Linked DNA regions of Neodiprion lecontei. The protein of the gene in region 2 purifies or fractionates together with the protein of the main gene of each other region. This does not show direct contact. Links are inferred from orthologs where the notes say so. Each region holds a gene or a part of one and is shown on either strand. Other genes may lie near its edges.

The links.
Region 1: the proteins of toll-interacting protein A (region 2) and cleavage stimulation factor subunit 1 purify together in Homo sapiens (co-immunoprecipitation; 3 studies listed by BioGRID and IntAct, with this or other methods). This does not show direct contact. The link is inferred for Neodiprion lecontei from reciprocal best matches to the Homo sapiens genes TOLLIP and CSTF1.

Annotation. Positions count from the first base shown.
Region 1 is NC_060263.1:36,110,877-36,116,675, reverse strand, and holds cleavage stimulation factor subunit 1, read right to left. Parts: upstream 3,823-5,799; 5' UTR 3,681-3,822; coding exon 3,610-3,680; intron 3,049-3,609; coding exon 2,151-3,048; intron 1,972-2,150; coding exon 1,878-1,971; intron 1,599-1,877; coding exon 1,354-1,598; 3' UTR 800-1,353; downstream 1-799. Other genes in the region: putative uncharacterized protein DDB_G0271982, read right to left, coding at 313-369; ribonuclease P protein subunit p20, read left to right, coding at 3,967-4,143, 4,434-4,602, 4,677-4,786; transmembrane protein 203, read left to right, coding at 4,925-5,338. UniProt on the Homo sapiens protein: One of the multiple factors required for polyadenylation and 3'-end cleavage of mammalian pre-mRNAs. May be responsible for the interaction of CSTF with other factors to form a stable complex on the pre-mRNA.
Region 2 is NC_060265.1:3,483,248-3,487,425, reverse strand, and holds toll-interacting protein A, read right to left. Parts: upstream 2,283-4,178; 5' UTR 2,104-2,282; coding exon 2,056-2,103; intron 1,910-2,055; coding exon 1,742-1,909; intron 1,604-1,741; coding exon 1,470-1,603; intron 1,308-1,469; coding exon 1,103-1,307; intron 983-1,102; coding exon 806-982; intron 728-805; coding exon 617-727; 3' UTR 519-616; downstream 1-518. UniProt on the Homo sapiens protein: Component of the signaling pathway of IL-1 and Toll-like receptors. Inhibits cell activation by microbial products. Recruits IRAK1 to the IL-1 receptor complex. Inhibits IRAK1 phosphorylation and kinase activity.

The DNA.
Region 1 (5,799 bases), on a different chromosome or scaffold from region 2:
GCACCGACTACTCCGGACGAAAGGCGCAAATAAAAAAAACATCCTCCATCTTTGCCACTAAAGGACAAATAGTACGGCTTTGAAAAATCGCTGAATATGACATCACGCGTATTAAGAGGAGCTTCTCGAATAATATTAATCTTCTGCATCTAGACGATTCACAGCGAGCCTATAATTGCTTAATACCCGCATACTGGAGAGTTGAGAATTTTCGAGATACCGAGCGTCGCCCCGTATTTGAGGGACTTACACGCCGCCTTGGCATGGAAACTCGGCTTGACGAAGGATTTTCACTGCTTTTCACGTACTTACCTTAGACACATCGTCGACACTGTTATCGTTCTTGGTCTCTGCTTTAATCTCAGACATTTCTTCGTGTCGGAATCACTCAAAAACACACGGAAACCACTGATTTACTACTAGAAATCGCAAGGAGCCCGGTCGCACTGTTTATACGATAAGCAAAGATGGCGGGTAGCGTGGGTCACGTGACCTCGTCAAACGTAGAGCGGGACGAGAGCCGCGCCACCACCCATCGCGTTCCTGAACTATAAACACCCGCGGGTTCGCTTGCGCCGATTCAAACATTTCTATTTCAAACATCATTTCAGCTCCCGCATGCGGCTTTTTCCCGCGCCGCTTTATCATTCGTACTTAAAAATAGTAAGAGCTGCGAAGTAATGTGAATATTTTTGACGCTTCTTTTTCAAATGGTGTACAAAGTATTTTAAACATATTTTTCAAAATTTTCGTGAATACTTCGAAAACTAGTTATGTACTTGCGAATACTTTTACTGTATAGTTATCGAAAAAAAATACATTTGTTTATCTCTAAAAAAAATTTAAAAAACAACAATAAAACGAAATAACTTCAAATTATTAACTTACGATATTGATTATTCCTAGGAATAATTGTTTTTTTTTTCGTTCACAAATATTTGCATTTTATTTATGGAAAAGTTGGCTTCATCAAATAGATGTGGAGGGAAATCAGAAAAAATATATTATTCTGGTGAAACTCTGTTTCCCATTTTCATCTTGTCTACATAAGTGGGATGAATCCAAAGCTTTATCTGTATTCAATTCAGCAATTAATACCGAGATTAAGATTCATATACGTTCTCGGGCCAAGAATTGCGTCTCTTAAAAAGCGAAAATAATCAATGAATTTAGTAAATCAATTGCGAATAAAAAATGAAGGAAAAATAATGACATTGATTTTATGACGATCTTAATGCTAACGTGCAAAGAAATATCAGTACCTTCAATGTCGAAGGGTGAAATTTCCTTAGAATATTTATGTTCCCATGATAAATAAGGTAAGGTCCTAATTTAATTTTTGGTACTCGCACCTCAATGCGTAGGCATTCGCCTGAACCAAAACCTTGCTCTAAAGTCATCGCTGCATGTTAAGAAAGCCGGAGCAGTCGGAGAATGTACAATTAAACGGACAGGGCCATTGTGACCCAATGATAAAAGCTGCTTTCTGGAAGCGTTTCGGGAATTCCAAGCACAAAGAGAGGTTGTAGCCTCATCCGGAAACATCACATAGTCTTCAGTATGATTAAATATTGCTTGAGCTTTGTGCTCCTGTTTTCCTGTGAGAAAAAAATACAAGATATAATTAAAAATGACCACAAGTTATGATTTTTTTCAAAAATGCACGAACTTTCGTTTCGCAGACATAAGCGTGATTTACACTTCGATTTTGACTGAAAATGACAATGACCACTACATTCAACCTTTATTTTGTAAGTAGTTACAATTTTAATCTATTGGTAAATGTGGATCACGCGTAAATGAAAAACTTTGACATGTACCAAGAATTATGATTAACATCTCAAGTGCCAGATCAAAGAGACTCGAAAACCTTTTACCTGTTGTACCAGCACCTGTGTAAGCAATCAAACATCTGCTCGTTGACAGTTCCCACAATTTAATCAAAGAATCTTTTCCAGATGAGAGTAAATACTGAAAATGAATATCAAGAATTTATATTCATATTTTTTACCAAGACACTTTAGTGACATGGGAAAGGACATCCCTGAAATTCACAAAGACAGCAAAGTGTAAATATAATTCTCAGCTGTGTTTGCCTTAGTCACGATTATTGACGTCAGTTTAATTTATAAATTAAAGAAGAAACATACCTTTCCATTTCTTGTAAACGTCACGGAGCAAACCTCGTACCCGTCGTGTGCTTTGACAAAAGTATTTATACACCGATTGGATACACCATCCCATAATTTAATACTTCCATCCTTACCAGCAGAGGCGTAAGTCTTACCGTCCAGACAATATTTAATGCTGGTTATACCTGCCGTATGCTGATGGCTGGGTATACTAGATACAAAGCACTGTGCCGTATTTACATCGTACAATCTAACGACAGGATGATTTGTTCCAACAACAAGAAAATCACCAGTCGGATGAAACGACAAGCATCTGATCTGGTCGGCGTCTGTTATAGTACGAAAAGCTTTCTTAACACTTGCTTTACTGAAGTCAAAGAGCTTGACTGAGAAGTCTCTGCTCCCGGAAACAAGTATTGGCTCCCTGGGATGAAACTCTAAGCAAGTCACCTCCTCCAAGTGATCGTACAGCGTTCTGATCACTGGATGCCCCCCAGTTTGATCACCAGGTGCCATTTCGTCCGGTGCAGATTTGGCCAACATTCTGTCAACATCTAAAATCTTTATCGAGGCATCGACGGAGCCTGTGGCAATTAGCTGTCCATCCGCCGAAAATGCTCCTGCTCTACAATTTCCTTTGTGCGATGTAACATACGCCGTTTCATATTGTGCCGGTTCTGGTGCCTGCGTCTGAGCCTCTGTTTCAAACTCTAAATCTAAACCAGGACCAAGAGTATTATCGACATTGGAAAATGTCGGTAGATTATTTACTTCTTTTTTTGTACGATCTGGCTCATGCGCAGCACCGATTAACATCAAATGCAACAATCTATCTGAAGGTGGGCAAGGCGGCTCAGCTTGTATCATGTTCGACAATTGAACCGCCAGAGTTTGATGACCATCATAGAAAAGTTGGCTGAAAAATATGTTTTCCATATAACTAAGACCACTTTATAGATTAGTAAACACAATTTCATTACTTCGACAAAATGACCAGTCATACGCTTATGTAAAAATGTGTAAACAGCAGGATTTGTGAGACTGTGCCTCTTACAATTTGATATGTAAATGAAAGAGAAAATCAAATCAACTTCTGCCTAATATTGTGATATCACAGTCTGTAATTGTTAGGCAAGGTGTTTCAAGATGTCACTGGGAGTTGGGAAAACTTAGCAAATTAGTGAAGTATTTTTCGCAAATATTCTATATCTGAAAATTTTCTTAGAAAAATCCGATTCCTCCGATATCCCTAATTATGGTGTATAAACTTTCATTGCTGGATACCTTGTCAAATCAGTTTTTCTAAACCCTCTAAGGGACGTATGAAATGACTAGTTTTGCAATAAGATATGAATAACCATTTAGTTAATTATCCGTAATTTTTTTACGAAAACACAAATTGAAGCAATGGTGTCTGAACATAACGAAAACGTGTAATGAGAAGTTTGAAGTAGTGAAAAATTTGAGATTTGCTTACCTGATCATAAGCCGATAGAGCGATTCTCTGCTTTTAATAATATTCTTCGGATCCAAATCTGGCTCCTTCATGTTTGAATGATAATCTCTATTCTCCTTCGGCGACTGAATTTTGCTGGTTTTATTTTTTCAGGCACAAAACGGAATCCGAAAATACGACCAACGACAATTCGTGATTCGCCTCTGTCACCGTCGTGGTCTCTGCGAGGTGAGAGGTTATGTTATGTTGATGCATTTTGCCTGTCGAAGTTAGTCGCACGCATGTCGCACGATTGGATATCGTAATCAGAATCTCAACTCTCTCCATAGGAATTGCCAATCGCATAACCTCCTCTCAGGATACAGGAGAAATGCCACAATGGCTGCTGCGAAAAGCGAAGTTGAATCGAGTCAACAAAATTTGACAGAAAGCTCAATCAAGGACTCTAAGATCAAACTGCGACCCACCTACGAACATGTTATAAGAAAGAGATTACCGCCACGTTTACCGAAAAGTGACAAGGACTTCTATATCACCAACAAAACAAACTTCAAGGTAACCTCAGGCACCCTAACCTCATTTGGTGCGTTTAAATCACATGATGTTCCGTACCATTTTTCAATTATTTTATATAAATATCCATGGTGTGGAGTTGGAAAACTGACAAACACTGTAAACCAGTCTCGTACCTTCTCTTTTCAGCTTGTTTCTGGTAATTACAATTTCCAACGCTCCAGCTATCAGAATTTATAAATTCTTGCTTATATTTTGCACGATTGTTGCTTCATTGTAAACAAGAATATAATTATGCATGATTTCTCATAATACTATCGACTCTGTTTAAGGCTCAGCTGAACAAATGTGAAAAACTACTGGATTCCGGTGAACAAGAAATTGTTATTCATGCTCTTGGTGCTGCGGTAAGCAGAGCTTGCAATTTGGCCTTACAATTGAAAGAAAATCACCATGGCACTGTCGATTTGGACATAAATACGTCGACTGTAGATATAACTGGTAGGTAAAGCTGGGCTAGGATTTGAACATTGAATTGTTGAGTATTAATGGTATAATTAATTTGACTTTTATAGATGATTTTGAGCCTATCACAGATGACGCTGACTATGAGGTAAATCAACGGCAAAATTCAGCCATTCATATTCGAGTGTTCCGCACAGCATTGTTTGAGACATTCAAATAAACACATACTATTAATTTTAAGTGAGTTTATTCAGTCTGAGGTAGTGTTTGGATGTAAGCTTTATATTTTATGAGACAATGAAGAAGCTTAATTTCCATATTTGATATTTGTTTTTTCTTCATTGTGAACTTCCTCAAGATGATATTTTCCCTCAACGAATTAGTGCACTGGCTGGGTTTAACGATATTTGAAATATGGATCAATCTTGTATCATTGACAATATTTACGATTTTGCTAGCCATGAAGATAGATAACAATTATTTCGCAGGCAATGGAGGCTGGTGGATTATATTCTCGCCATTATTTATCGGTGATGGCTTGAACACATATTTTTGTGCAATTATTTTCATAAGAATGCAAATGGATGGAGTAATGAAAAGTGCTATACTTAGAGCACTATGGAGTTTGACTTTTCTTTTGTTAGTTTTTGTTTTCAAGTATTTACTTTGCAAAAAATTGTCAGGTCAAAGCAGTCTGGAATATTCTGAAGTTTTGAGCCCTGTTTTTATTCTCTTACAACTTATTGCTGTCAGGGCTTGTCAGCTTCACTGACCCAGGGCTTTAGATAGAAATGATCCTGTCATAGAATTTTCTTTACAACAATCTTCTGTATATGTTGCAACTGAGCTTATGTACACAATACGATAAACTGATGTAAAGTGCATTAGTGTCTACCAAAACTTTATTTATGGACATAAATAGTTCCCTTAAGTGCGTATTCAAACAAATTTCTCAAACTAATTTTAAGTAAGAATTGTGTTTATTTTTTTCCTTAAGCATTATCATGATATCTCAGATAGATAATTACGTTTGTTATTCGTCAAATATTCATCTCTTATTTCAGTGCTGTTAGAAGTGAAAGAGACTGTCAAATGCTTCAAGTTCCAAACCACTGCTTGGCATAATTTTAACTTTTGGAGCTATTGAAAATTACATTACATTATTTTAAAACGAGTATCCCAGCTTGGTACACTGATATTAAAATCTAAAAGTATTTATACGTGATAAATTTA
Region 2 (4,178 bases):
AAGTTATAAGTAAACGTCTATTAATATAAGTTATCGCATCAGCATGATCGACATTCCAAGTAAAGATGAGCACAGTCATGTCAGTATGGAGAATCTGATAATTCTTCGTAATAACACAATTTAAGTTGGAAACAATATTTCATATCTCAGGGAGCAATGAATCACATGCCTAGTGATAACGTTAATGTATTAACATTGGCAGATAACTATTGGAATAACGATTCACTGATCCATGTAGGATTTATAAGCTTCTGAAGTATCGAAACTTTAAGAAATTGTTATTATTCTTTAATTGATTAATTTAATCAACATTATATACAAATATTAATATTTATATTTATGCACGTAATTTTTAGTAAAATGAGTTATAAAATCGAGATGAACCCTATTTGAACTAAAGACCTATGTAGTTCAGTACAATGGTAATTACACCAAATTAAAATCTCTTCTGCAAGTTTGAAATATGAATCTTAAAACAGTTACGTATGTAACAAAGACAAGAGTAAAATTAATAACCGTTATAATAATTTATAAATATATTACAATTAAAATGGAATACAACTTCAGCGGAAAATACAGATATGGCAATTTGAATATGACAATGGTTTTTTGACATTTATTCGCACATTTGCAACAGAGAATTTATTGTCACATCCTTCTTTCCTTGATTCGCATCGTACACGGACTTAATGACCTCGGTATCAACGTTTGGGAACATCTCTGCGATCTGTAAAATACAAATCCAATACAGTTAGCGCTAAACTTTGCCAACATTCTATGACAACACTGACAAAATCCATATTACCTGTCTCAATTCAATTTCTGCGTTTGCCCTCTGACTCGGATCAACAGTTGGAACAGCAGCGACGGCAGGTGGAGTCGTATACACATTGACCGGTGCATATTGTGTCATACCACATAAATTAGTCGAAGGAACCATCATTACTGGCGTTTGACCAATGTATGGATTACCAGGAGTAGGCTGAATAAAAAATTTAAACGTCGTTCATCAATAGTAGGAAAAGAAACGCGCCAACCGTTATTGATGGATCAACGAGGTAACGCAAAGTTTTAAAAGATAAATTCAGTCCTTTCAAATTACCAAATAACTGAAAACCATGTTAATCATGCCTTCCTGATTATCCCCTTGTTTTCCACTAAGGGGATACCAGTCCTCGTGAGTCTCTCCTGCCAAAATTACTTGGGGTGGTATTTCTATATGACCCCAAGCGATAAGTTCATCCATCATAAACGAACACTCGTCGTAAATTTCAACGTATATTTGCGTTACCCCAGGTGGAAGGTAGCTGAAATAAGTAATAGTTAAAATAACGACAATAATACCAAACCGAATTTGATGAAAAAAAATCATAAGTTGATTTGTACAACAGGTTCGATAAGAATCAGTGAAAAATATCTATCCTAATCATTTGTAAGGTTTAAACGTAGAAGCTCCTCAAGTGTGTTACCATTGCAAAACTTTGTTCCAGTGCGGGTTTTTCCCTCCGTTTGGATCTGTATGTGTTTCATAAATGGAATGACCGACTCGCAATCTGACGTAAGGATCCATTCTGGTCATGCCGTAATTCTTAACCAATTTTGCCTGTATTTTGAAATGGTTTGTTATTATTGTTGTTGTTCTTGTTGTTGGTAGTACGATCATCGACTGATAGGTTGTTTTCTAGTTGTACTGAATATTTGATGCTCTGTATCGAGGACTCTAATTTTGCAAAACGCCAACCTGAGTAATCGTCACGCTCAGTCTGCCCATGCGTGCAGCTACCACGGGCGGTGCACTTTGGAGATGGTGCTGTAGCGCCAGAGCGGCTTGTTGATCGGCAGCCTCTTGTTGTTGCCGTGGGCTTTCTTCGACTCTGAGAAAGCCATGTGGAAGCGGTCCAAGGAATGCCTGTAAACAATGCCGTTTATCTTAGTGCCACAGATTGGTTTCCTTGATAAAATAATTCATTTCGGAGTAACCTCCGACGGTATGAACGTGACGCATACGGTGAACGAATGCTCGAGTATACAGCGTTTCTTGCTTTAGCGACTTACTCTTTTCTTCCAATCGTCGTATAATTCGTTACGCTGAACACTTGCCATTCTGATATTATTTCCGTAAAACTATTATCCTTCTAGATACTGGCAACACGAGACGTAAAAACTGAATGAAACCTTTAATATTCGGCACGAACTGCTTTGTCAGCACGTTTGGTATTTGCGCTACCCTATGACGTAGTAAATATCGTCTATAGGTACGTACGATCAGCTGATATTAGCTCTTCGACTCCTGGCAAGCACTGTCACCTGAACGGGTTAGAACGTATAAAACTGAGCTGAAAGTCACGTGACGAGACTTATCTTAAGACGAGGTTCCTGACGCGTGATTTCGTATCGTTCAGGTCGTCGTTCTTGCCGTGTCTGTTCATTGTCAAGCGGGCCGCAAATTATGACGTATCGTAATGTACGCACGCACACATCCGTACGTGAATGTGTGAGTTCAATTCCATGTCAGGGGGCTTTTAATTAACAGGCCTCGTAGTTTGTCGCTTACAATTAGAGAGATTCACTTGAGAGTACAGAGCAATGAGGGTGACTTTTGCCTCTCCCTCACTGAGCGTACAACGATTATACTATTTTCTTAGTACACGTTATTACTACCCACCTTCCACTCACCGACGTGATTGAAATTCCGGTGATGACAAATACCGACTAAATTACACGTTTTAATCTCAATTTCAAACTTTTCTTTTCATCACACATTTTTATAAAACTTATTGCAGTTCTCGTTGTGATGTTAAAAATTTGAATGTTTATTGCAAGGGATACGATAGATCAATTTGAAGGAATATCTTGAGAATGAATTAATTCTATAATTCAAACAGCTTCTTTGATAGATGTTTTTTATTCATTTAAATTTATCAAATATTATCAATGACAGAGTAATTATATGTTACAGAACTTTGGCAATCGTAATTAAAATTTGATACTCAATCTGTACTTTGAATATTTTTTATTAATTTTTTTTTTTTTACAAAGACACAGTCTGTTGAATTTTATTTAACATGTGAAATACCTTTATTTATATACATACATATACATGTATATTCATACATATATGTATATATATAATCTAACATATATAAGGCACAATATATTTATATACATAGATTATTCAGTTCGAATACATTAAAATGTACATAAAATATCATTTGCAAATATTAGTATCAAAAAATTTACTCAATATAACAATATTAAAAAGCACACTCTAGTACTACAAGGTATGCTGTTTGGAAATTTTTCAATTCGGTTTAATCGCTCTATAATTAAAGAATTTGATCAATTTTGGTAGATCTCATAAATCTTAAAATAATTAATACAAAAATACATGTATGGATAAGTTAAAAGTTAAACTATTTACGAGCTCCAGTCAAAGGTGAAGTCTTCACATGTGTGTGAAAAAAATTTTCATGCCAACATATGTATAAAAAATTCCGCAAACAAGACAATGTAAAGTACTACTTTGATTTTTAAAAGTTGGTCTGTCTGCACCAGCTCGCTAATCTATTACATGTTGTCAATAGACAAATGTTTTTCAACCGCATCTCCCAAGTAATAAACAAATTATTTCTAGATAATATAAATACCGTTATAGCTCTTGCAATCCTATTCGACTGTAAACAATCTGATATTAATCATTTAACTTTCCTCAATTTCTCGTAATAGTTATTATTATTAAATACGATGGAGATGGACAGTGATTGCAGCGGGTAAAGAATAGTATTCAGTTTCCAAATACCGTGATATATCCTAATTAAATCGATCGATATTATGGTACTTTGGCTGTGCATAATTTGTTTTGATAACGCTCTCAAATTCCGATAATTGCATATGGCATGTTCATGGGTAATCTTATTTACAAATATATCAATACACGCGCGTATAAGGTATGTGAGTATACTGAGCATATTTATGTAACTTTAAGCATGACAAAATATTTACATATGTCATAATAATCTAATAGCTACAGTATATAAGGGCTCTTTGATAGACAAATAATGCTAATGTGATGTACATACGTTTGAATATGTATATCACTTGAACAGGTTTCGATGCAATGTAAATTTTCTTTAGTTTCATCCTGTGTTAGTACAATAAAAAAGGTCCGCAACTTACAA